3 linked regions of the Saccharomyces cerevisiae S288C genome follow. The protein of the gene in region 2 interacts with the protein of the main gene of each other region in a pairwise test. Each region holds a gene or a part of one and is shown on either strand. Other genes may lie near its edges.

The links. The genes of interacting proteins can lie anywhere in the genome.
Region 1: the proteins of END3 (region 2) and YAP1802 interact in a two-hybrid assay, tested with the Saccharomyces cerevisiae proteins (3 studies listed by BioGRID).
Region 3: the proteins of END3 (region 2) and SCD5 interact in a two-hybrid assay, tested with the Saccharomyces cerevisiae proteins (2 studies listed by BioGRID).

Annotation. Positions count from the first base shown.
Region 1 is NC_001139.9:972,315-978,246, reverse strand, and holds YAP1802 (Yap1802p), read left to right. Parts: upstream 1-1,665; coding exon 1,666-3,372; downstream 3,373-5,932. Other genes in the region: LSC2 (succinate--CoA ligase (GDP-forming) subunit beta), read left to right, coding at 1-211; MPC3 (mitochondrial pyruvate carrier), read right to left, coding at 471-911; YGR240C-A (uncharacterized protein), read left to right, coding at 3,470-3,670; PFK1 (6-phosphofructokinase subunit alpha), read left to right, coding at 4,513-5,932. UniProt on the Saccharomyces cerevisiae protein: Involved in endocytosis and clathrin cage assembly.
Region 2 is NC_001146.8:465,551-472,783, forward strand, and holds END3 (End3p), read right to left. Parts: upstream 5,553-7,233; coding exon 4,503-5,552; downstream 1-4,502. Other genes in the region: TCB2 (tricalbin), read left to right, coding at 1-397; SNN1 (Snn1p), read left to right, coding at 784-1,092; MKT1 (Mkt1p), read left to right, coding at 1,581-4,073; Ca(2+)-binding ATP:ADP antiporter SAL1, read left to right, coding at 5,827-7,233. UniProt on the Saccharomyces cerevisiae protein: Component of the PAN1 actin cytoskeleton-regulatory complex required for the internalization of endosomes during actin-coupled endocytosis. The complex links the site of endocytosis to the cell membrane-associated actin cytoskeleton.
Region 3 is NC_001147.6:934,171-941,055, forward strand, and holds SCD5 (Scd5p), read right to left. Parts: upstream 5,180-6,885; coding exon 2,561-5,179; downstream 1-2,560. Other genes in the region: ATP-binding cassette multidrug transporter PDR10, read left to right, coding at 1-2,327; DNA-directed DNA polymerase gamma MIP1, read right to left, coding at 5,451-6,885. UniProt on the Saccharomyces cerevisiae protein: Regulates both fluid phase and receptor-mediated endocytosis. Involved in vesicular transport at a late stage of the secretory pathway. Regulates actin cytoskeleton organization.

The DNA.
Region 1 (5,932 bases), on a different chromosome or scaffold from region 2:
TTTCGGCGGTATCGTAAGATGTGACTATGTTGCCCTGGGGCTGGTAGAAGCCGCCAGAGAACTAGAAGTTAGGGTCCCCATTGTGGCACGTTTGCAAGGTACCAAAGTAGAAGAAGGCCGCGACATTATCAATAAGTCAGGCGTGAAGATTTATTCGTTTGATGAATTAGATCCTGCTGCTAAAAAGGTCGTTGAATTGACCCAAAATTAAGCTTCTCGAGAAAAACAAAAGAGTTAATAATAAAGTATATATGCTTTTTTACTATTAATAAAGTTTCTTATTTTCCCTACATGTATACATACATATAAATATACTCTTTTGGAAAAAATTTCTTTTTTTTTTTTTTAATTTTTTTATATTTTTCCATCTTTTGATGTAATATAGAGGTTATATAATGAAAGAATATATAAGAGGTCATAAAAAATCATTAAAAAAATGCGAGTTCAGGAACATATTATCGTTTACGTAATCAGTGCGTTATTGGCGGATTAGTACCGATCACACCTTTGTTCATCGATGTGGATGCAGTTTGCTTTGCTGCGACGGCTGCAGGAGTCTCCCCTTTTATTATGTAGTGAATAACCTGTTTAAAAGAATCACCGTTCCGTATCCTAAAGTTAGCAATTCTTGTTAGATGGTAGCCTGCAGTGCAACCCAGGAAAAAATTGACGGAAGCTAACAGATAGTTCTTGGGCTTGATGACAAACGACCAACGCGTCCAAATCAGTGCCGTCGCTAATAAAGATAAATTTTGTGCTCCTGATACCTTCTCAACAGGCCTCTTAATATCATTTAGCCCTGCGAAGACCAGCCCCCACTTCAAAGTTGGGGCCCAGAAGTGTACTGTTTTAGGGCCTGTTTCACTATTCCAAAATCTTCTAAAGGCAAAATTAAAAGCTGATGCTGACATTAAAAATATAGGTTTGTGTTTCTATGTGTCTTGAATGCTTATGCGTATAGTCTTAAAGACTGATTGTATTCTTTTTTTTTATATGAAGTATTTCCGCCGTAATGAAAGGGAAAAGAAAATTTTCTCCAATACTCCAATTGCAACGCACCATATTATCCGGGAGAATACACGCACGCAGCCGCATATATATATATGATGGCCTTAGTTTTGTTTGAGCCTTTCGGTTTTGCGTGACCAAACCAGGGAGCGGCTCGCTTGACCCGCCCACGGAATGACGTAAAGCCGTTAATAGCCGATTGGCGGGAGAAATAAAAGCGGGGCACTCCCAAGATGAGGGGTAATCGGGGTAATAATATCCAATCAAGGAGGAAAAGGGCCAAATGTTACCCGACTATCCAAACTGCAGGGTAACCTTTATTTTTTCTTTTCTTTTACTCCTACCATTTTTTTTTTCAGATTTTTCCCAGTATGGCTTTGTTTTCATTTTGCTTTGGTGGAGGGATAGATTAAGTTTGCAGCTGCGTAGAAAAGTTTCTTTTCTACATTCGAGGAAAAAGTCGACTTATTAGTCTGGTTAACTTGTTATTAGGGCTTCTTGCTTGAGTTATAATTTTAGAAGGAGAAAAAATAAATCTGTAGCAGGAGTACCAATTTGCTACGCTTGCTAACATCTACGAGAGTAACAATATCAAGCATACAAGCGCGACTGTCTCGGCTACCCCTATAATAGATATAGAGGCGTGTTTGTGAAACAATGTCTTCATTATATACTAAGTTGGTTAAAGGGGCGACCAAAATAAAGATGGCCCCTCCAAAGCAAAAATATGTGGACCCTATTCTCTCGGGCACTTCGAGCGCAAGAGGATTGCAAGAGATTACCCACGCATTGGATATAAGGTTGTCTGATACAGCCTGGACCATTGTTTATAAGGCATTGATTGTGTTGCATCTGATGATACAACAAGGCGAAAAAGATGTCACGCTAAGGCACTATTCCCATAATTTGGATGTTTTCCAATTGAGAAAGATTTCGCATACTACTAAGTGGTCTTCCAATGATATGAGGGCTTTGCAGAGATACGACGAATACCTAAAAACACGTTGTGAAGAGTATGGCAGGCTAGGTATGGATCACCTACGAGACAATTACTCCTCGCTAAAGCTGGGCAGTAAGAACCAGCTTTCAATGGATGAAGAGCTAGATCATGTTGAATCATTGGAAATTCAAATTAATGCCTTGATAAGGAATAAATACTCTGTTTCAGATTTAGAAAACCATTTGTTATTGTATGCATTCCAATTGTTAGTACAAGATTTACTAGGTCTGTACAATGCTCTTAATGAAGGTGTCATTACACTTTTAGAATCATTCTTCGAATTGTCCATTGAGCACGCAAAAAGAACACTGGATCTCTATAAGGATTTCGTGGATATGACAGAATATGTTGTTAGATACCTAAAAATAGGAAAAGCTGTCGGTTTGAAAATCCCCGTTATCAAACATATTACTACAAAGTTAATTAACTCCCTTGAGGAGCATTTGAGAGAGGAAACAAAAAGACAAAGAGGTGAACCTTCTGAACCGCAGCAAGATAGAAAACCATCTACGGCCATTAGCTCTACCAGTAGTCACAATAACAACAGCAATGACAAGAATAAGTCTATAGCGCAGAAGAAACTGGAACAGATAAGGGAACAAAAAAGACTGCTGGAGCAACAATTACAAAACCAACAGTTGCTCATTTCCCCCACGGTCCCACAAGATGCTTACAACCCATTTGGATCACAACAGCAAGATTTAAATAATGACACCTTTTCATTCGAACCAACCCAGCCACAAATGACCGCTCAAGTCCCTCAACCAACTGCTAACCCCTTCTTGATACCGCAACAACAGCAACAGGCTTTACAGTTGACATCTGCGTCTACAATGCCACAACCAAGTGAGATACAGATTACTCCAAATTTGAATAATCAACAAACTGGGATGTATGCTTCTAACCTTCAATACACCCCAAATTTCACCGGCTCAGGGTTCGGCGGATACACGACCACCGAGAACAATGCAATTATGACCGGCACTTTAGATCCAACAAAAACGGGGTCTAACAACCCATTTTCGCTAGAAAATATTGCCAGAGAACAGCAACAACAAAATTTCCAAAACTCCCCAAATCCTTTTACCCTCCAACAAGCACAAACCACCCCGATTCTTGCTCATAGTCAAACAGGTAATCCATTTCAGGCTCAAAACGTGGTGACATCACCAATGGGCACATACATGACGAATCCCGTGGCCGGTCAACTTCAGTATGCCTCTACTGGTGCGCAGCAGCAACCACAAATGATGCAGGGTCAGCAAACAGGGTATGTTATGGTTCCCACTGCGTTTGTCCCCATCAATCAACAACAGCAACAACAGCAGCATCAGCAAGAAAATCCTAACTTAATAGATATATAGTGAGCGATAGATACTACAGTTTTTTGTTCTCAACAGGCCGTCCTTGCATATTATAAACTCTGATTTTTAGGTAATCCCTTCCACCTTTCTATATTTTATGATACTATCCAAACATGTAAATTTTACGTACCATACATATAACCTCATCTATAATTTTTACCCTGATCTAACTAACTTTGGCATGCCTGGTTCAATCTACGGGTTACAGTCATCGTTGAAAACGATGGAAAAACATGTCGAGATTCCTCAATCCATACACCATTATAGTCCGTTTTATCAGCTTCCACTAATTTTTTAAATCTCAGTTTCTTCTTGAAATTTAGCATCGTGCATGGGATAGCGGCTAGTAAAAAAGAAAATTAATATCTCATTAACAAAGTTATTGTACATAATCCGGTACAATATTCTTCAATGTACTCTCTAATATCGAGCACACTGGCAATATTCATGCACACATTCGCCTAATGCTGACGAATGCTTAATCAGTGCAATTACTGCCACCCTCTTGATATGTGGGCTAAATCCTTTAGGACCTGTAAAAAATGCAATCACGTTTTCACATTTTTTTTTTTCTTGCGGAATTGCGGAATTTCCCAGTTGGCAGCGTTATCCGATTTGAGATCGACTTGCATCAACCTTTGAAAAATATAAGGATGAGAAAGTGAAATCGGTTTTTTTTTTCCATTGTCGTCATCAACATGATTTTTTAAATAAATAAATACGATTTTTTATTTTTTTTCCCTTCTTTGTTTTTGTTTTGCTTATTCCCATCTTCATTATTAAATTCTTCCGCTCTTAATAAAGGAGTTTTTTTATTATCTTCTTGTGTAATCATCCTTTTTCTTTAATTTTCTTCCTTTTCTTTTTCTCTTTACTGGTTTTTTTACTTCTTTATTCTCAACCATCTAAAGAATATTATTGCTTTCTACCAATAAAATCTGTTAATTCTATTTGGATTGTCGTCTACTCAAGTCTCGCCTAGTAAATAAACGATAAACAAATTTGAAGTAAGAATAACAATATAGGGAGAGAAATTTTTCTATTTTTAATTTCGAAACAGGTACCAAAAAATCTAAGTTCACTTTAGCACTATTTGGGAAAGCTTTTATATAAAAAATCTGAAACAAAATCATATCAAAGATGCAATCTCAAGATTCATGCTACGGTGTTGCATTCAGATCTATCATCACAAATGATGAAGCTTTATTCAAGAAGACCATTCACTTTTATCACACTCTAGGATTTGCAACTGTGAAAGATTTCAACAAATTCAAACATGGTGAAAATAGCTTACTATCTTCAGGGACTTCCCAAGATTCCTTGAGAGAAGTTTGGTTAGAATCTTTCAAGTTGAGTGAGGTTGATGCTTCTGGGTTCCGTATACCACAACAAGAAGCTACTAACAAGGCTCAAAGTCAAGGTGCTCTATTAAAGATTCGTTTAGTGATGTCTGCTCCAATCGATGAAACTTTCGACACCAACGAAACCGCCACAATCACTTATTTCTCTACTGATTTGAACAAGATTGTCGAGAAATTCCCAAAACAAGCCGAAAAATTGTCCGATACCTTAGTGTTTTTGAAAGATCCAATGGGCAACAACATCACCTTCTCAGGCTTAGCTAATGCAACCGATTCCGCTCCAACTTCCAAAGATGCTTTCTTAGAAGCTACCTCCGAAGACGAAATCATCTCTAGAGCTTCTTCCGATGCTTCTGACTTACTAAGACAAACATTGGGCTCTTCTCAAAAGAAGAAGAAGATTGCTGTCATGACTTCTGGTGGTGATTCTCCAGGTATGAATGCCGCTGTTCGTGCCGTTGTTCGTACAGGTATACATTTCGGCTGTGATGTTTTTGCTGTTTACGAAGGTTACGAAGGTTTACTAAGAGGCGGTAAATATTTAAAGAAAATGGCTTGGGAAGATGTCAGAGGTTGGTTAAGTGAAGGTGGTACTTTGATTGGTACTGCTCGTTCTATGGAATTCAGAAAGCGTGAGGGTCGTAGACAAGCTGCAGGCAATTTAATTTCGCAAGGTATTGACGCTTTGGTTGTTTGTGGTGGTGATGGTTCTTTAACCGGTGCTGATCTTTTCAGACACGAATGGCCATCTTTGGTTGATGAATTGGTTGCAGAAGGTAGATTCACTAAAGAAGAAGTCGCCCCATACAAGAATTTGTCCATTGTTGGTCTTGTCGGTTCCATCGATAATGATATGTCTGGTACTGACTCTACCATTGGTGCTTATTCTGCTTTGGAAAGAATCTGTGAAATGGTTGACTACATTGATGCCACCGCTAAATCCCACTCCCGTGCCTTTGTTGTTGAAGTTATGGGTAGACATTGTGGTTGGTTGGCCTTGATGGCTGGTATTGCTACCGGTGCCGATTACATTTTTATTCCAGAAAGAGCTGTTCCTCACGGAAAATGGCAGGACGAATTGAAGGAAGTGTGCCAAAGACACAGAAGTAAGGGTAGAAGAAATAACACAATTATTGTCGCTGAAGGTGCTTTAGATGATCAATTAAACCCTGTTACTGCCAATGACGTCAAAGATGCTT
Region 2 (7,233 bases):
TGACTACTTGACAATTAACGTGAAAGACTACGAATCCACTAACTCCAATAGGAGTATTGGAAAAGCCGTTGTTCCATTATCTACTATTGATCCAGAGAGCGATACCACCTTTAATATACCGTTAGTGGGACCAAAGGGAGAAGATGGCGGTGTGCTACATCTTGAATTTGAGTTTGAACCCCGCTATACTACCAATGTAGTCAAACGTGAAGCCGGGCTTGGAAATTTTGCCACGAAAGGATTAGGTACAGGCATCAAAGCTGGTTCTACAGTTTTCGCCTTAGGAACCAATGTTGTAAGCACCGGATTAGGAACAATTGATAAAGTAAAGGCCGGAGTCTTTGGTGGCAAGAAGTCTACAACCACTGGGGACAAAAAATCCGAAGAGAAGCAATAATTCTATCGATGGTAAAGAGTATGTGTCACGAAATCATCTTGATGCCGCAATGTACGAGCAAAAAAAGAAAAGAGAAATCAATCTTAACAACTCAACCATGCCGAGTGCTACTATAGTACTTTTCTTTATTACTACGTATGTAAATTGTAACAAATGTGTACTTTTATGTGTGTTCTTAAATGGGAAACTACTTAGCGTTTTGTTCATTTCCAGTGTTAAGTAGGAAGAATGACTGAGCGAAAAAAACCGTAGAAGTAGAACTTAAAATAAGAACGGAGGCTAAACCACCAAAACAGCTCATCAACAGTTAAAACACCACCAATATTTCCAGAAAAAAGAACTGTAGATATAGTCTCATTAGTATTTAGAAGAAAGAGGATTTTGCAATGGCAGGGGATAGTATAAGCGCTGACGGCACTGGCGTCCATCCAGTTGAACTGTCGGTGTATTCAGTATTGTCCACCGATTTAGACGGACTGTATCAATCGATCAATGAATTACGCGAGTCGCAAGCACTACTCATCCTTATGCTTCGGAAGGTTCGCGATAAACTTCGAAGAGAAGGTCAAGTCCTTTATGACCCAGAACCATTCAAACCAACCATGGATAAACTGGCTGACTTATCTGCCCGTGTGCGCATTCTCTCACAAAGATACGAGGAGCTTCAGGGGAATGCTAGAGCCCTCAACAACTAAGTAAACATACACATGTATAGCATAATCTTCGATTCCTTTTACCCATTCGTAGATGGCATCGACAGTGTACTTATAATACTACCGTGAGAAACGATATTAAGAACAAGACGAAAAATGGTGGAAAATCTGGAAAGCAAGAACGTAGCACGCTAGAGTTATTCTAGCTTGTCAGCTCGACTGTTTAATTATTATTGTTATTATATTAACATTAACGTAATAACCATTGAACTACATTAAAGAAATAACTGTCTCGCTTATATCTGGTCTATTTTTTGTTTTTTGCCTTTCCTTTTAAATTCTTTATAACCTTGAAAACAAAAAATCACATTGGTAAATTACAATCATTTATTACCAAATTTGTCCATTAACTATTTTAGCGTGACTGACTGATAAAGACTGTTTCACTCTCTTTATTTATTCATAACAAAAATTCAGATATTTTGAACTATAAAGTACTAAAGGCAGAAAAATTAATAGCAAATTAAGCGATGGCAATCAAGTCATTGGAATCGTTCCTTTTCGAAAGAGGTCTAGTAGGATCCTATGCCATTGAGGCTCTGAATAATTGTACCCTGGATATAGACGTCAACCATTATGTTTCCAGATTGTTGACCAATAAAAGAGAACAGTATTTGGATGCCATTGGTGGTTTCCCTACCAGTTTAAAAATGTATTTGGAAAGCGACTTAAAGATATTCAAGGATTTCAATATTACCCCTATTTTTGTCTTTAATGGTGGTTTGACTTACAACCAATTAGAGGCATCGGGCCATTTTACTGCAGCATCTGCTTCTGCGTCGATTTCGTCAACCACTACTTCCAGCAGCGGTACCAATGCCACAACAAGATCCAACACGGAATCCGTTCTTTTGCAGAGAAGTAGAGGCTGGACACAATGGAACAACTTGATTAGTTCGAATCAGAATTCCTATATTGACCAGCCTATTCAACCCCAAGAGCCATTCAGACATAACACCACAATTGACTCCAAAGCTTACCAAAACGATTTGATCGCTTATTTTATTGAGCATGGGTATATGTACCAAGTGGCTCCTTACTCCTCTTGGTTTCAACTAGCATATTTATTGAATAGCGCTTATATTGATGCGATCTACGGCCCAACTGATTGTTTGATGCTAGATTGTGTTGATAGGTTCATTTTGGGTATGGAATTTCCAAATAAAGAATTTCGATTCATTGACAGGTCAAGAGTGATGAAGGATTTAGGTTGTACCCATGAAGAGTTTATCGATATTGCTATGGCTGTAGGTAATGATTTGCAACCAACAACTTTACCACCATTGCAAATTTATCCAGTTCCTCAGCTGTTTGATATTGCTCTAGAAATGGTTTTGAATACAGGTACAAACTTCTATGCCTATCAACTATCTACAACCTTACAAAATGACTCCAAAGAGAATATTCAAAACTACCAAAGAGGTATTTCTGCATTAAGATACATGCCAGTCTTGAAAGATACAGGTAAAGTTGAATTATTTGTTCAAGAGATCGTTGTTTCAGAGGAGGACAGTGAAAAGAATAACAAGGATGGAAAAAAGAGTAATCTTTCCTCACCATCTTCTGCGTCATCTAGTGCTTCTCCTGCTACCACCGTGACTAAGAACGCTAGTGAAAAGTTAACTTATGAAAAATCCAGCACTAAAGAGGTTAGAAAACCAAGAGATATTCCTAATGATGTTCATGATTTTATCGGCCAAATGTTACCTCATGAATACTATTTCTATAGATCCATAGGACTGGTTACTGGAAAATTATTTGACGCAATTGTCACAGGAGTTTATCCTGAAGAGCCTCCATTGGGCGGAGGATCTTCTACATCCTACAAGAAACTGGTTTCCAAGTCCGTTGAAATCTTCAAGAATAAAGAAATCAATTTATTAACTCAACCAATTAACAGATACTATCAGATTAAACAAATTAAACAAGTCAAGTGGTATGCGGCAAATGAGCCTACCACTTTGACCAACAGGATGTCACCTTCTATGTTTGAAACTATCAACCACTTAATTGTTAAAACAGAAACGTCTGATGAAAAGGAATTTTCTATCTCTGAGTTCATTACAACAATAAATGGTTCTAGCAATATGGCGAAAGATTTTATATCTGAAAAAGTCATTTTCCCAAACTCCGTACCAATCGAATCCAAATTAAACTCACCATTTAATTTATTGTCGACCAATTTCTTAAGATTACTAGTACTATTGGAGTTCTTCACTTTTGATTTCAAGGAAAAACTGCTAGAGCCTACGAGATGGGGTGAGGTATTCTTAAAATTAAATGAGCTCAATATTGACAGTAAGTATCACGAATCAGTTATTATCTTTTTGGTATTTTTGAAATGCGATGTCTTAAAACTTGACGAAGAAGTTCAACCACCGGCTCCCTCAGCCCTATCTCAAGCCACTCTTCGTTCATATCCTGAAGAATCATTGTACGTCCTATTGATTACGCGTGTATTAACTTTATTTCAAGTGGACCAAAAGCCATCAAATTACCACGGACCAATTGATAAGAAAACTTTGATCTTTAGAGATCATCTTTCTTTCATAAAGGAAAATTTAAATGAACTTTTTGAAGCCGTTTTGATCTCATCTTTAACTTCTGGCGAGTTTAATAGATTATCACTTGATAACTTTGGTTGGGCAAGAAAGATTGTTAGATATTTACCGTTCAAATTAGATTCCCCAAATACTATAATGGCTATGATGTGGGAGTTTTTCTTACAAAAATATCTTCACAATGGTAATGCCAAGAATGATGCATTGTCTTTAGTTGCTACTGAATTCAACACTTACAAATCCACACCAAATCTTGATGAACAGTTTGTCGAATCCCATAGATTTCTTCTTGAAATTTCAAAAGTCATGCAGGAGCTAAATGCTGCGAAATTAATCGATGAAAACGTGTTTAAATTATTCACTAAAGCAGTTGAGTTTACTACAACAGCTCTATCTAGCTGAAGCGTGAGAATGAGTATGATGGAAATAGTGGAACTATTTAAAAAGCACCCAATAAAGAAAGATAGTTACTGTAAAGAGGTATATTATCATTATTCAGAGGGTTCAAGTACCATCATCAAGATTTAACACAAGCACAGTGAATAGCAACAATTAAAGAAAAAACTAATCAAAATCACGGTAGAAATAGGAGAAAAAAAGTAAAACAGAAACTAAGTCACTGTTTCTTTATATGACATATTCTATTATATAAATATGTAAAGAACGCTGAACAGTAAAAATTTTATGAAATTCCGGCAGAGAAGAAAAGGAAAAAATAAGTATACACCACACCGTTACTGGATAGATTGAAGTTCAAATCAAAAAAGTTTACAAGTGAAATAACAAACAGTAAATATTACACATTCATGTACATAAAATTAATTATCGGTGTCAATTGATTTCTGCTTGTAATGCTTGCAATTCGTGTCTCTTATTGTTCAAGTAATTCTCCAATACTTCAACCTGCTGTTCAATGTTATCCAAGTCATCAGTTATCGACCTGATGTTAATCCGCTTAGAAAGTTTTGAGCCTCCTTGAGTTTTTTCACTCTTTTTGTAGTTCAAAAGGCCTTCTAATTGTTCTCTCATGTTCGCAACTTGATCATCTGTCAGAGAAGCATATTTTTGCTTTATACTGTCTTCATTTGAAAGCACGTTACTGCCACTGCTATCGGAACTCGAGTTCTGCCCATTGTCACGCAGATTGTCCACTTCGTTAGCTTCTTCTTTTCTCTTTGTAGGAGGTTGAGAGGACCGTAAATCATAGCTCAGTTGTTTTTTATTGCACACCTCCGCCAGAGAATTTGGTAAACTTGCTGGAATTTCAGCACCCAAATCATTTCTTTGTCTTAAACAGTGAATAAAATAAAAAGTAGGATCTCTATCAATTGATGGCAAATTTTGTGGGTTAATTAAACTCCAAACCTTATTTAAATCTGTCTTACTGATGTTAAAAAATTTTGTGGAAAGTTTTGTTGACAGTTCGTTGAATGTAATAGTACCATCGGTTAGTTTTGCACAGCTATTATAAATTTTTTCATATTGATTCAAATCATCTGGAGACATGTACCAATCTACTTTGATTTCCTTCTTTGGAGGCAAGTCTGCGTTTTCTATTTGCTTGCGCTTCTTTCTTTCTTTGATTAGATTCACCTTACTCCCTGGAATCAACCAATCAGGCAATTCATCTGGAACAGAGCTAATGTTTTTATTAACCATATCAAATATTAATCTCATGCAAATTACAAATTCCTCAAAGTCTAAATTGTCGTCGTCATCAATATCAGCTAAAAACCAAATCTTGTTTAGAACCGATGAATCTAATTTGGAATTATAAAGAATTGGTAAAACCTGGTCATGGTTTACCTTATTCTCTATTGGTTTCAAACCCGAGAAGATTTGCCAGTATTTTTTTATTTCAAATTGTTCCAACTTGGGCATTTTTCAGAGATCCCTGTTATCTTTACCGGCCTTTCCAATACCCACTAACTCTATGGTTATATTACAATCGTCTGATTATAACAGGCAATTAACCTTGTGTTTCTGACGTTCTTTTCATTCATTCTTGATATGTTAAATCATAGGGGTCCTACACGATCGTCAAATATGATATTTAAAAAGTAATAAATAAAAATGCAGCTTTTTTATTAGCGATGGGAAATATTGAATATTTGAAGGGGCAAATAACGTTTAATTCAATCGAATGACGGTCTAAATGCTGCTGAAAAATTGCGAGACGGACAAGCAGCGAGATATACGGTATGCGTGTTTGTTCAAGGAACTTGATGTTAAGGGAAATGGTCAAGTTACTCTAGATAATCTGATAAGTGCTTTTGAGAAGAACGACCATCCGCTCAAGGGAAATGATGAGGCAATCAAAATGCTGTTTACTGCAATGGATGTTAACAAGGACTCTGTAGTTGATTTAAGCGATTTCAAGAAGTATGCTTCCAATGCCGAATCTCAAATTTGGAACGGCTTCCAGAGGATAGATTTAGATCATGACGGTAAGATTGGCATTAACGAAATAAATAGGTATTTGTCAGACCTCGACAACCAGAGCATATGTAATAATGAACTTAATCATGAACTTTCAAATGAAAAGATGAACAAATTCTCGAGGTTTTTTGAATGGGCGTTTCCAAAGAGAAAAGCCAACATTGCGCTACGAGGCCAGGCTAGCCACAAAAAGAATACTGATAATGATCGGTCAAAGAAAACCACCGACTCAGATTTATACGTTACATATGATCAATGGAGAGACTTTTTGCTGCTGGTACCGAGAAAGCAGGGTTCGAGACTTCATACTGCTTATTCCTATTTTTACCTATTCAACGAAGATGTCGATCTGTCCTCAGAGGGAGATGTTACTCTCATAAACGATTTCATTCGCGGGTTCGGGTTTTTTATTGCTGGTGGTATTTCAGGTGTTATTTCAAGGACTTGTACCGCGCCATTTGATAGACTGAAAGTGTTTCTCATCGCAAGAACGGATCTATCCTCGATCTTGTTAAATTCAAAAACAGATCTCCTTGCTAAAAACCCCAATGCTGACATAAACAAGATATCATCTCCATTAGCAAAGGCTGTCAAAAGCTTATATAGGCAAGGCGGGATAAAGGCTTTTTATGTTGGGAACGGTTTAAACGTCATCAAAGTTTTTCCAGAAAGTTCGATAAAGTTTGGTTCTTTCGAGGTCACCAAGAAAATAATGACCAAATTAGAAGGCTGCCGCGACACAAAAGATCTTTCAAAGTTCTCTACTTACATTGCTGGTGGTTTAGCTGGTATGGCAGCTCAGTTTTCCGTTTATCCTATAGATACTTTGAAATTCAGGGTGCAGTGCGCTCCTTTGGACACAAAGTTGAAGGGGAATAATTTGCTCTTTCAGACTGCAAAAGATATGTTTCGAGAGGGGGGGGGTCAGATTATTTTACAGAGGTGTCACAGTCGGTATAGTGGGCATATTTCCCTATGCTGCATTAGATTTGGGGACTTTTTCTGCCTTAAAAAAATGGTATATTGCCAAACAGGCAAAGACCCTGAACCTACCACAAGATCAGGTCACTCTAAGCAACCTGGTTGTACTTCCAATGGGTGCATTCAGTGGAACTGTAGGAGC
Region 3 (6,885 bases), on a different chromosome or scaffold from region 2:
ACAAATGGCGGTCTGTTGGTATTGGTTTAGCATACATTATTTTTTTCTTATTTCTGTATTTATTCTTTTGTGAATACAATGAAGGAGCAAAGCAAAATGGTGAGATGTTAGTATTTCCCCATAGTGTGGTTAAAAAGATGAAGAAGAAGGGTATTGTCTCTGAGAAGAAAAAGAAAAACCAACCAACGTTGTCAACATCTGATGCTGAGAAAGATGTAGAGATGAACAACAATTCAAGTGCGACTGATTCAAGATTTTTACGCGATTCTGATGCAGCTATAATGGGTAACGATAAAACTGTCGCCAAGGAGCATTATTCATCTCCTTCATCTTCTGCGTCTCAAAGCAATAGTTTTAGTAAAAGTGATGACATTGAATTGTCCAAATCACAAGCGATTTTTCATTGGAAAAACTTATGCTACGATATCCCGATTAAGAATGGGAAGAGGAGAATTTTGGATAATGTTGATGGTTGGGTCAAGCCTGGTACACTAACTGCCTTGATTGGCGCATCTGGTGCAGGAAAAACAACGTTATTAGATTGTCTTGCCGAGAGAACCACGATGGGTTTAATCACTGGTGATGTATTCGTAGATGGTAGACCGCGGGACCAGTCTTTCCCCAGATCAATTGGTTATTGTCAGCAGCAGGATTTGCATTTGAAAACCGCAACTGTGAGAGAGTCATTAAGGTTTTCCGCGTACCTGCGTCAAGCCGATGATGTATCCATCGAGGAGAAAGATAAATACGTTGAAGAAGTCATTGAGGTATTGGAGATGAAACTTTATGCTGATGCCATAGTAGGCGTTCCTGGTGAAGGTTTAAATGTGGAACAAAGAAAAAGGTTAACCATAGGTGTGGAGTTAGCTGCCAAACCAAAACTGTTGGTATTTTTAGATGAGCCCACGTCTGGGCTTGATTCCCAAACTGCATGGTCAACTTGTCAATTAATGAAGAAATTGGCTAGTCGCGGACAAGCAATTTTATGTACCATTCATCAACCTTCTGCTCTCTTAATGCAAGAGTTTGATAGGTTACTATTTTTGCAAGAGGGCGGACAAACTGTATATTTTGGAGAGCTAGGGAAAGGTTGCAAAACAATGATTAACTATTTCGAAGCTCATGGTGCCCATAAATGCCCACCAGATGCCAATCCAGCCGAATGGATGTTAGAAATAGTAGGTGCTGCACCAGGAACTCACGCTAGTCAAGATTATTTTGCCATTTGGAGAGATTCTGAAGAATATAGGGAAATGCAGAAAGAGTTGGACTGGATGGAACGAGAATTGCCTAAACGGACGGAAGGTTCGTCAAATGAGGAGCAGAAGGAGTTCGCTACGTCAACTTTGTACCAGATCAAATTGGTGAGTTATCGATTATTCCATCAATATTGGAGAACACCATTTTACTTATGGTCAAAATTTTTTTCAACAATTGTGTCTGAACTCTTCATAGGCTTCACTTTTTTCAAGGCGAATACATCATTACAGGGCCTACAGAATCAAATGCTGGCCATTTTTATGTTTACAGTGGTATTCAACCCAATATTGCAACAATATTTACCACTTTTCGTTCAGCAGAGGGAACTTTATGAAGCTAGAGAAAGGCCATCAAGAACCTTTTCGTGGAAAGCATTTATTGTATCGCAGATTCTCGTGGAAATCCCTTGGAATTTACTGGCCGGTACTATAGCTTTTTTCGTCTATTATTATCCTGTTGGATTTTACAGAAATGCTTCTTATGCAAATCAACTTCATGAACGAGGAGCTTTATTTTGGTTATTTGCGTGCGCGTTTTACGTCTACATCAGTTCAATGGGGGTATTAGTGATTTCATGCATTGAAATTGCAGAAAATGCTGCGAATCTCGCTTCACTTTTCTTTATAATGTCATTATCTTTCTGCGGTGTTCTGGCTACGCCAAATATTCTACCAAGATTCTGGATTTTTATGTATAGAGTATCGCCACTGACATACCTCATTGATGCTCTGCTATCGGTAGGACTGGCCAATGCTAGTGTCGTTTGTTCCAGCAACGAACTTTTAAAAATTGTTCCTCCAAGCGGTATGACATGCTCGGAATATATGGAACCTTATATGCAATCCACCGGGACGGGTTATCTGCTCGATGGGAGTTCCGAAACTGAATGTCACTTTTGTCAATTCAGTTCTACCAATGATTATCTGGCGACTGTGAGTTCTTCGTATTCACGTAGATGGATGAACTATGGCATTTTTAGTGCATATATTGTCTTTGACTATTGTGCAGCAATATTTTTATACTGGCTGGTGCGGGTTCCAAAGAAAAGCAAAAAATTAAAGAAATAATTAAATATTACTGGCTACATTCATTGTATATGCAAAATTAGTTAACTATTGTTCAGAGGTTTACGCCATGTTGCTAAATGTTTGGTGAAACTAAAAGACTAGCTCAATAATCAAGACAATAAATAATGCTAGTAAACAGGTGTTCATAAATTACATCACTTTTGTGACTTTATGTACACATATACCTACATATATTATCTTTCAAAACTATACACCTCGTTTAGCTTACGATACTATGGTCTCCTATTATATTGGATTTGTAAAGCATCGACTTGCTGCTGCAATGACTGCAAGTTACCCAAAATATCGCTTGAATTGGATCTATTAACATCTGCAGTGAATGGAAATTGCTGCTGCTGTTGCTGTTGCTGTTGATGAACTTGCTGCCCTAGCATTCCGTAATTAGGCTTGTTAGGTTGGCTATGTATATCACTGTTGTTTAAGTGAAGTTGCCCCGGATGTTGTTGCATTTGAGAAAGTTGGCCACCATATATTCGTTGTTGAGTTTGTTGTTGTTGTTGCTGCTGAATATACGTCTGATGAGATTGAGTATTGTTCATTGCCGCACTAGTATTTTGGAATGAACTTATGCCATTACTGGCGTTATTGCCATTAACAGTAGACGCATTTGATGGCGTAGGATTTGGAGATGGTGAAGAAGAAAGTAAAGATTGAAAGTAACTATTAGCAGCATTCTGAGGTGACAAAAAATTTGGAGATTGTATGCTTGGTGAATTTGTATAGGAGGGTTGGGTCGGCACCAAATTATTCTGCTTTTGCACGTTAGAGTACATATGTTGAGGTGGCACAATGGCCCCTTGTTGCTGCTGCTGAGCGCGTGGAGGTGGAGGAGGTGGAAGATGTTGGGGCTGCTGTTGATTATTAGTATACGTATTCTGGGGGGATATCATTGTTGCTTGATTATTGGAATAAGTATGTTGCGGAGAAAGAATGGGCTGATTTTGAGTGAAGGTATTTTGTGGAGATATCAATTGCGACCGTTGGTGCTGCGGGATCGTATTTTGAGGAGAAAGCAAATGCGATTGCTGATGTTGAGGAAGAGTGTTTTGAGGGGGGAATGCACCAGTTATTTCTACTTTCGGCATGGATACGATGTTACCATTATTAATCCGAACATTGTTAGAGTAGGTGTGTTGAGGCGATATGTTAGATGGTTCAATTTTCGCTTGAGTCGGATTAACCTCTTGGTAAGGTTGCTGTTGATTGCTTTGAGGAAGAGTAATGTTCGGAGAATTCAGAAATGCTGGTCCTGTACTTTGTGGAGATGAAGATTGGTTCGTAAATTGCGCCTGAAACATCGAAGATACTGGGTTATTAACTGAAGGTGAGATATGCTGTTTCATCAAGTAATTTGCAGAACCTGTGGCGGTAGGTTTCAAAGGTTGAAGTCCCCCAGAGTTTGTAACTGTTTCTGGTGTACTCGAAGGTTTGATAGACTGAGGTTGTTCCATATGACTTCGCATCAAATAATTTGCAGAGCCCGTTGCTGTTGGTTTTAAAGGTTGTAAACCTGTTTGGATGGCACCGTTGCTTGGATGCAACCCCTGATTATATTCTTCTCGCACCAGGTGATTAGCTGAACCTGTGGCGGTTGGCTTCAAAGGTTCTAACGGAAGTTGCTGTGGAACAGTGGTGTTATTCACATTGCTAGTTGGTAGAGTATTGCCATTCTGTAAAAATACCGATGAAATTGGCAATGAGGCAGAATCAACAGTCTGTATTTGTTTGAAATGGGACAAGGAATCCTTCATATCCTCCAAAACTTTCTTCTCCTCCTCAGTTTCTTGTTGTTCGCTGGGCAAACTCGAAACTAATCCGCTGTTTTTTCTCCGCTTATATAGCCTCTTTAATAATTGATCCATGGGCAATGTGAAATCCAAAGGACTGTCATTATTAGAATCCTGATCTTCATCTTCTGCATCAGGATCTTGCTTTCTTGCTTCACTATTATTAGATGATTCTTGATTGAGGTTTGGAGGGTCTTGAAATGTTATATGCTCTGAAAACCTAACCTTCTTACTCTTAAAATTCAAATTTTTGATTCTTCTCCTGACTCTTTTTCTCGTTGTCTTACCAGTCAACAGCAATGAAGCAAATGAGTCAAAATCGACCTTTTGATCACCAGTTTTGGCAGAACTATCATCGTCTTCCACCTCCTCGTACACCTCTTCGTGATTCTCACTACTTAGGATAGGACGTGGTTTGGGAACAGGTGCCTTTTCCAAGATCATGCGTCTTAGAGGTAAGATGCCATATATAATAGCTCTAGAAACTAATCTTAAAACAGCGAAAAATTGACCAATATTTAACGCATTTTTACAGCTACGGAAAATTTCCACAATTCTATCTTTTACTTTTTGTGATAAATTAAAATTGGTCAAGAACCTAAACACGTCGTTCAATCTTACTAGTTTTCCATGGGTTCTCAAACATATATAGTGGTACCATCTTAGATATGTCCTTATTTCTTCATGGGTAAGTTGGTTTTGTGATAAAGACAATGGGACTTGCATGTCTTCTGGTGACTCCGCGTACACATCGCCTCCAGAAAGTGTTCGTACCTCCCCATTAGGTGGATTATCCTTTTGAGGAGAGCTCACGTTAGTGGCATTATCAGCTGCTGTATTTGAGTGATTATTTCTGTAAGACAAAGTTGTATCACTGTGACTTCTTGATCCCTGATCCCAAAAGCTGGAATCATGTGGAGCAGCAGTATTTATACCAAAATCAAAAGACACACTGGGTGGTCCTAATCCATTCGATGGCCTCTTTTCTGCTTGGTCCCCGCTGCTTAAGTCCAATCCCGGAACATTAAGCCAATCAAACGACATGTTTCGTTACCATGTAAAATTTATCGAGCCTGCAATGATCTATAAAATCTTAGCTAACGAGAAGATGCAGATAATTTGGGTTTTGAATTCCTATTTTGAATTCTACCTTTTGTTTTGTCCCCGTTTCCTAATGTTAACTCTTTTTCTAATAGGGGCAACTTACTTTTGTTTTCTCATTTGGCGAAAAAAAGTAAGTAGAAATAAATAAAAAAATAATATTATAATGTGCTGTATATATAAATACAAATGCGAAAGCTAATGCAGATTTTGCCTAGTACTCTCTAGAAATAGTAATGTCCCTTTCCAGCTCAACCAAATTTCTATTTGTAGTGCTTGACTTCCTTGCCGGCAATTTTTTGGAATGTACTGCTTTCGCAGTCTTTCTTATTGGCGATGATGATGCCGTTCTTGCTTGTGATGGTTTCTTTTTATAATTAGATTTGTCGTTCAGAACGTCGTCAATCACTCCATCTATAGGAATATTAAAGAATTGTTTTTCTGTCTCCAAAGTATAGTCTAACGGTTTATTTGCACATTCATAGAACGCTTCAAATGCCTTCCTGCCACCATACACTCTTTTGTACTTCCTTTCCATAGGCGTGGTATTCTTTTTTCTGGTTAATTTTTTCTTATTTTCGTCATCTATCCTGTTTTCCTTCTTTCTCCTGTTCTCCAGCAATTGCTTTTCTGGGATTGCTGAATCGTTAGCAATTTTATGAAGTGTGGGATAATCTGGCATATTGACAGGTAATCTGATTCGTTGATCAGCTTTGGCATTTTTGGTACCATCTAAAAAATTGGATCCCATAATACGTACTTTAGTCCTTTTGCCCTTCTCGACATCCTTTATATAGTCTAGGAGGCTGTACTCTGCAGTGTTCCCATCTCTAGCGTATTCTTTGGATGTACACTCCCGCAGATACTCATCTTCTAGCCGATTCACATCGCGCTTATCTGACTGGACTTGCATCGCAAGAAAATATTTTAAGAACTCTGGAGTATAAGATTTATTATATTCTTCAAATACAGGTTCTCTGTAGTTATAGGCATATTGTGATACTTTGCTGTCGATATCGAGATTTGGTTTACCCAATTTACTATTGGATTTGTCTAGCAGTTGATTGATATCAAGCGCCTCCCCATGAGGAATGGCGGTTTTGTTCGAGGGGGTTATGCAGTCCATATTGACTTCTTTACGTATGACAGAATCAATATCTACTTGCGAGAAAAAGGCACAGTTTTGCGGTAATTCATTTATCCCCATTTGCTGGCAAAACATTGCTCTCGTCCATATGTTGCTGATTTGCAAAGCCATAGCAGCTCTGTATTTGTCCTTTTCGCTCACCAAAAATCTAATCTCATCATGGATGGAAATGCAAAGCCTTGCCTCAAGGTTATATTTCTTAATAATATATTCCATGGAGCAACAAAGAAGATGTAGATAATCCACTCCAGATGACTGGATGGCCCAATTGATTCTTGAAGGTAGAAAGGAATTCGCCCTCAGATTTTTCTTCATAAGTGAATAGGTAATACCACATCCCAGTACCGGTGTCTTTGGAGTTTCTTGTTCCGCGATGCTTTCTAATTTATTGAATAGAATTGACTCAGATCCACCATACCAAAATTTTTTGAATAATTTTGATCTTTTCGTTTTACCTTTCGTATTTTCATATAACTTATTCGCAATTTTTTTTGTCTCTTCA